Saccharomyces cerevisiae S288C: one gene and its partner. The protein of the gene in region 2 binds, or shares a complex with, the protein of the main gene of each other region. Each region holds a gene or a part of one and is shown on either strand. Other genes may lie near its edges. A codon is read from its position in the direction of its gene.

Region 1 (3,012 bases), on a different chromosome or scaffold from region 2:
AACTATCTTGGGGATTTCCCACGTGCTCCAACAAACGGTTTATTCGAGGTAAAGTTTGCCTTCCGCTTATATCATCCATCTGCTTCTTATGTAATCTGTTGCCGGCCAAACGAGCAATATTATTCTATATCAAAATCGTCAGGAAACTGGTCGACTTGACTCAAGTTTCATTAAGACAAGAATATAAATTTAAAAAATCATTATTGACCTAAATTGGGGTCCCTCCCACATCAGAGGAGGCTTCATTTTAGGCTATAGTTCCTCATATTTTTTTTCCTTGGCACACCTGCCATTCTCCTTTGCATACCTATTGTATCAAAAAGTGAGAAAAAAACAGCGCGGTTTGAGATGCTGAAAATGAGTACGCCAGAATAAGAGCCGATCATCAGTGTTTTGAAAGCTTACTTTCTGTGCTATGTGATGAGGCTATTCATGTATATATATATGTTCTATTAACTAGTGGTACTTATTTGCTCTTTTTGAGCTAAAAACTGAAGGCCTCAGTTTTTCAATTTACCAAATTTGTCATGCCATTTAGTAGCGACAACATCAAATTCTTCGTCCAAGGCGCTCAGCTTACCATCTAAAATGGAGTGCCACGCAGCTGACAAGGTCTGAAATTCTTCTTCGGAGTTGACAGGAAGAATCTCCTGCAAGAAGATATTATCAGTTTCTCCGATATTCGTTCCGTCCTCATCTGCGCATTTAATGGCAAATTGAACAACTTCTAAATCTAGCAGGTTGCTGCCTATACGCAAAGACTCAATCATCCATTGAGAAAATTTCACGAAATGATTGTAGGTATCGTCAATGGCTAATATGGACTCTGCTGTTAGCGTTAGGTCCTCGTTCAAAGTTTTAGATAAAATTTCCTTTTGTAATGACTGCGTTAGATAATAGTTCAGTAAGTCAAACGTTTCAACACATTTAACAAACATTGAAGCTATTGGTAAAATTACCTTGTCAAACGAATCCGCCTCTGGGTCTAATTCGTTTTTACCTTCATTGATAAACTCTGATGCATTATAGCTTAACACACAATCGTTGTAAAATCTCAATTTCTTAACAAATTTAATCAAAGTAGTTCTCTCGAATCGTAGCGTAGCTACCCTTCGCAAATGACTGATGAACTTGTTCAGCACGTGAATATAAGATGAGAGATACCGGGAGAGTAAGGCGAGTATTTGTTCAACTAATTCACAAGTTCCAGGAGTGACTTTGATATCTTTGTCTTTGCTCATTTTTAAGTGTCTGGTATTATGCAAAAGGAAAATTAAGGAGGGTTTACTGTGCTTTCTCTTTTTTTGAGAAAAATGTCTTGAGTAAAGTGAGGATTTTACTGTCAAATCTTTAAAGCTTGTTTTGAACGATGTCCTGCATTAAAGTGGGAGTTTTTCAAAACGGGAAAATACAAACAAAAAATGAAAAAAAAAAAAAAAAAGGGACTTTAACTTTCTGCGAGAGTATGTTTAAAAGTATATGTAATGCACTTTTGGTATGTTAAGAGGCATGCACGAAGAACCATTCTATAAGAGACTAAACATCTATATATTCATGTTAATTACCAGTCATCATCATCATCGCCATCGTCATTATCATCATCGTCAGCACTTTCCGCCCGCATTTTGTTTGCTCTTGCTGCCAATGCAGAAGCTAAACCGTCGCTAAACGTCCCCACCGGATTACTCTGATTATCACTAGTGGGTCCAACTGTTGCACTTCCAAACTGTACACCTTCTTGTGCACTTGAAATGGTATTGTCGATTTGGCTTGATTTCTGATTTGTAACGTCATTCACTGCCCCTGTCGCTGCAACAGGCACCGTATTTCTTGTGTCTTTATAAGGAGTCATATAAGCAGTAGGAACCCAACCTTCTTTGCTTCCATCGAGAAGCTTTGCTAAAGACCAACCACTAGGTTCATCTCTGCTTATAAATACAATATCGCCCTTTTTTAATGGCAACTCCGAAGATGATCCGGAACCTGGAAAGTCGTATGCAGCTTCGAATTTCGGATCCTTTGGTTGGCCCATGGGGGGAGGGGGTGGTGGTATTGGTATGTTTGCAGTTGCAGTTGCAGTTGTCTCCTTTAACGGTTCTTTATTTTTTTCAACCCCTTTTGAAGGTGGCATCGATACCTGGTTTTGCTTGGCGGATGAGGATTTGTGGCTTGAGGAGGCTTTCTTTACTGCGACTTTTTCCTTCGATGAGGGTTTTGAGCTGTGTTTCGAGCTTACTTTTGCAGCAGGGATTGCAGATGACTTTATTGGTACGGTCTTATCCGGTTTAGGATTGTATGCTGCCTGTGCAGCGGTAGCTGCCAAAGATAACGGATTCACAGGTTTTTGCGAAGGGAGAGGTTGCTTTTTTGCAGCATCCCTATGACTTCTATGGCTATGTGTATGCTTATGAGTAGATTTGTGTTTACTCTTTTTGCTTTTGATAGGTTTCCCGCTCAACCCACCTGGATTCTTAGGTTTTTTATTCGATTTGGAGTTAGCAGGGTGTCCACGACGCACGTATATTGTACTTGACTTGTAGATGTCACCGTATTTCGGTGCTGAATCGCTTATCTTTGAGCGGACAGTGTGCAACTTGTTTGGTTGTTTGTGATACTCAATCGTGGGACCAACTTTTATCATTATCTTTTCATTTAATTTTTTCAAACGTGTCATTAATTCCGTCTTGAAAGGCGTGTTAATGAGTGGATCGGATTGTGTACTATTAACAAGGATAACGCCCATCCAATCGTCTTGGAGGTTTGTTAAGCTCACTTGTTTAATTTTACCGACATCAATTTTATAATCTTGTGTATATTTCATAGCATTCTGTTCCCGTGTTTGTCCAATAATATAAAATGTCTTTTTTGTTAAGATAAACACTTTTTTCAATCTTTGAGCTGATCTGCCAAATTTAGAGTGCAGGCATTCCCCCTTTATCGAAAAAACAACTTTATCCTTAATTCCTACCTGTCTTCTGATGTACGATCCTTTCGTTTTAGACTCATTGCAGG
Region 2 (4,199 bases):
TTTAATGCTTTTCTTTAACTTCCCAGTCTTGAAAGAGTATAAATTGAACGAAGTATTAGTCAATTCCACATTGAACTTTTGCCATTTAGCCCTATTGAACAGTTTCTTCTTTTTCACTTTTGTGTAAAGAATCCCAGAACAAACCTGGTGCTCTGCATTTCTTGGATCGAACATCCTATAAAATTCTTTATCTTCACGAGACAGTTGCTCATCCATCGTCAAACTGCAAGAATGCTTGCTGCTAGAAGGACCCGCCTTTTCGTCAACTACAATTAAATCATCATCATCCTCTTCTTCATCATAATCACTACCTGTAGTGACACTTTCGTTGCCACTAGGACTAGAGAGGAATTTTTCAAGGGCAATTTTCCAATTATGCATCAGTTCCATACCAACCTTCTCATTTTGCCCTCGTGGAAATTTGAATATTAAATCCTTGGATGGAGTATAAACAGTTAATATACCATCGAGCTCGCTTATCTTAAAATTAAGTATGTCAAATCTCGGTATGACACTTATAGCCTCTCTTTCATCCCGAGTTTTGTAATAGGCAAATTGGTTTTTCCTCAAGACACACCAATATTGATGGTCTGTTGTCCGAGGCCACCATAAATGACGATGGTGATGATGGTGATGATGGTAACCCTGCGGTGCACCATCAGCAGCTCCATTGTTACCTGAACTGGATTGAGCTGTCGGCGTTTTATTTTGAGACGTTGATGGCTTCTTGATGAGATTCGATGCGATCAAAATTTCATGCTGACTTGACGGAGCAGTCGCACCTGCTATCATTGGTCTTATGAAATTTACCAAGGCAAAATTAGCGTAATTATTTATGGTTAATTCACCTACTGGCTACTATTGCGTACCACATTTTGGCCTGTTCGTTTAATTTCAGCCACATTATAGTAGAGAAAAAACCGTTGTGAGTGACCGAAAGTGAAAAATATGGATTCGTGTCTATAAAACCTTAGAGGCATCTATTTACTTTTGTTCTATTATCTAAATGAATCCTATATATATACTCCCTTGTGTCGGCATATTCTAGGATTGGGCCCCGTGAACAACCATACTATTTCCCTTTTTCTTATGAGTGGAGGAAACAGTTCTTGTAACACCGGGAGGCACTGAGATTGTGGGAGATGTACTTGGATCGTTATTATGCGTTACATTTGTTTTACTACTGCTCGAGCTTGGTTTTCTTACTGAGGCAGTTCTTTTAACACCAGGCAAAACCGGGGATGCAGATTTTGGAATAGAACCCGATGACAGCAAAGGCGACGCAGTATAGAAACTTCTTCTTTTATTGTTACTGCTATTACCATTGGAGGATGAATCGTTTGTGTTCGGCGTCTTTCTTAATTTGACCATCTTAATAGGAAGCATATCCTGTGCATTATTGCTACTCAAAGCGTCAGCGTTGTTGCTTTCCACCTGGGTTTGTACATTCTTCTTCAAGGTTTGTACTACCGCGCCTTTATTACTAATCTTCTCATCGTTTCTTTTCAAGACGTCTTTCAAATCCATCTTTTCAGCAAAAGTTGATATCAGATTTTCGTTCGTCTGGTACAGATTTAGCCAGCTTTGTAGATTTAACTCATCTAAAGAGTGAGTGATTATCTTGCTTAATTTTGAATCCTTTTCTGTTTCCAGAGATTTCAAATCTTTCACAGAGTCATTGAATTTATTTAAATTCAATTCTATATCTGAATTTGAACTAGTATCTGAACCATAATTTAAATTTTGATTACTTAACTCTAACTCCAACAAACCGATTTTTTCATTTAATTTGGAAATTTCATCAGAATAGTGGTCTCTGTAAAGATTTTGTGACTCCAATAATGAATTATAGTTAACTTCCATATTTTGCAATTTTTCAGAGCAAGATTGTTCAATGGCACTAGAATTTTTCGCCAATTTACTCAATTGATCCATTTTCTCCTTTTGTTCATTGTAACGGTTACTCAATTCGCTATAATCTTTCTCTAGCTCTTTTAGCTTCTTGTTCTTTCTTTCAAATATCGAGTTGAGATTTTCGTTCTCGTTCTTCAGCAGATTTAAATTTTCCAGTAGTTTTGATTCTTTGGATTGTGCTAATTCCAATTTACTCAATAAATTTTGAGATTGCGTAGTCAATTGTAGATTTGTTTTTGTCAGCATATCAATCTGGTCATGCAGTGATTCAATGACTCTCGAAGATGAGGCATTTTGGCTGGAGGTATTTCTATCTTTTGTGGGGGAACTTTCCAAGTTTGCCATAAAAATATTATGGTGAGGTGCCAACTTGCTTGAAGAAGTCTGGGTATTATCCTGGTCCGACATCTTACACAAAAGTAGTGTCGTTGAACCTTGGCGTGCTTGATAGACGAGCTAACGTTTGGTAACCCCTTCAGACTGCTGCTACTCATGGCAACAAATCAATAAACAAAATGCAATAGTAGTTAGTAATGAAGCTCTCGCCCGAACAAAAGACGAAACGAGCGGGTAACTATTTAGCCTATTTTATTGCGATGACAATAATATGTAGTAGCAATAGGGAAATAGTTTCATTTGACGTGGAACCAAAAATACATTCTAAATCGTACAACTATTAAATTGATATATGAAAGACGGATATGAGACTACACTATATTACGGTTTTTGATCCATCAAGATCTACCAACGAAAATGACACTTTCAAGCAGTTGCTGCTGTTCCATTATTTTGGCACTACTGATTCAATACCCTCTTTAAACGAAAAACTGTCCATCATAGGAGTAATACAGGGCATTTGGTCACTTACGAGTTCATGCGTAAACAAGGACGGCGAAGATTTAGAGAAAATTATTGAGCTGAACAATGATATTATTTTTTGTATTAAGGTGGAATCAAGATTTTTCATCAGTCTAGCAATTTCGAATATCAGCGACGATCAGAGTGCCATACCTTTACAGTATCTCAGTGCTTACTTATGGCTTAGTTACAGGTTCTTCAAGCTACTCAATGGGTCATTCAGCGGATTTAACAAGGACTTCCGCAAACTCACGGATTTGTTGAACGAATTCGTTATTCCGTTCTGGAATGATATTTATTTGAATCTAGAAACTGTAACGAATAGATCATTTACTGTAATGTGGCCTGGTTTTTATAAAAGGGCAAATTTTCAACATTCCTCTTATAATCCTGGAGAAAAAAATAATGTCGAAGAGTCATGGGACGCTATAATCTTGCAGAATATTCTTTTAGATAAAAAGAGTTATCTAGGACTAAAGGACATTTTGGTTTACCACCTACCAAAGCGCACCAAAGCGGCTAATAGGGAGTCTATGGGAACAAAAACTTATGGACTAGTAAGGAACTTTACCAGTGACCTGAACACATTACCAGATATCTCAAATTGGCTATATCATTTGCACTGCACCTATGGTGAAATATCAAGTCATATATTAACAGGAAATGTCCATTTTAAAGAGGAGCTACAAGTAGAAGAAGAACAAGAGCGAAGTCGTGATACAAACGGAAGAGACGAAGAGGAATCACAGGAGCAACAGCGACGGGAGCACCAAGAGACTACGCAAAACAATACAAGCGAACTCTCTCTATCGGAAAGAGTGATACACAACGTAACACTCCCCATTTCTTTTGCATACGACGCTATACATGAAGTGAGTACCACGACTGGTGTTTCGGGTAGCTTATCCATGATAATGGACTATGTACCGAAGCCCCATTGGCCGTTCATTTCATCCTCTAACAAAAGTGCCGACAAAAATAATTACTCAAATAGCAATGATAACGCAAATTCGAATGCCCCACTGATGGCGCAATCAGAGGCTGTTGGAGGGACGATAGGCAACTCGAGATTTGGTTTCCTAATTTCCCCATTGAATTCAGACCTGTTGCCATCATCATACCAAGCCCTGAAACTGAATTTGAACTTTGAAAACTCCAAAGACAAGGAGGATTTTTATAATTGCCTATTTTGGTACTTTGATGATTTTTTAATTGTAATTGTCTGTGATCCGGACTTCAACAAGATTTGTGAAAGAGACTATCTAAAGGACTTGAGCTTCCAATTGTGTCAGAGTATGGAATGCCTAAACAATGAGATTTTAAACTCTCAAAATTGCGATAACGTGGAATCCTTTGCTTATGTGATCAGAGATAACGTCACCAAAGAAATCGACTCGTCCGTTCCATTTGGGTCTCCAAAATTTACT

Evidence for each region.
Region 1: the proteins of SHE3 (region 2) and SHE2 are in contact, whole or in part, in a crystal structure (PDB 4WNL), measured with the Saccharomyces cerevisiae proteins. Residues at the interface, in NP_009688.3 of Saccharomyces cerevisiae: Val363 (codon at 1,236), Leu364 (codon at 1,233), Pro365 (codon at 1,230), Gly366 (codon at 1,227), Val367 (codon at 1,224), Lys368 (codon at 1,221), Arg369 (codon at 1,218); in NP_012792.1 of Saccharomyces cerevisiae: His150 (codon at 794), Lys153 (codon at 785), Trp157 (codon at 773), Glu190 (codon at 674), Thr191 (codon at 671), Ile194 (codon at 662), Gln197 (codon at 653), Glu198 (codon at 650), Ile199 (codon at 647), Leu200 (codon at 644), Leu211 (codon at 611), Ala214 (codon at 602), Trp215 (codon at 599), Ile218 (codon at 590).

What each region holds. Positions count from the first base shown.
Region 1 is NC_001143.9:194,788-197,799, forward strand, and holds SHE2 (She2p), read right to left. Parts: upstream 1,242-3,012; coding exon 501-1,241; downstream 1-500. Other genes in the region: RMA1 (putative tetrahydrofolate synthase), read right to left, coding at 1-79; MYO3 (myosin 3), read right to left, coding at 1,562-3,012. UniProt on the Saccharomyces cerevisiae protein: RNA-binding protein that binds specific mRNAs including the ASH1 mRNA, coding for a repressor of the HO endonuclease. Part of the mRNA localization machinery that restricts accumulation of certain proteins to the bud and in the daughter cell.
Region 2 is NC_001134.8:494,548-498,746, forward strand, and holds SHE3 (She3p), read right to left. Parts: upstream 2,323-4,199; coding exon 1,045-2,322; downstream 1-1,044. Other genes in the region: OPY1 (Opy1p), read right to left, coding at 1-792; CCZ1 (Ccz1p), read left to right, coding at 2,616-4,199. UniProt on the Saccharomyces cerevisiae protein: RNA-binding protein that binds specific mRNAs including the ASH1 mRNA, coding for a repressor of the HO endonuclease. Part of the mRNA localization machinery that restricts accumulation of certain proteins to the bud and in the daughter cell.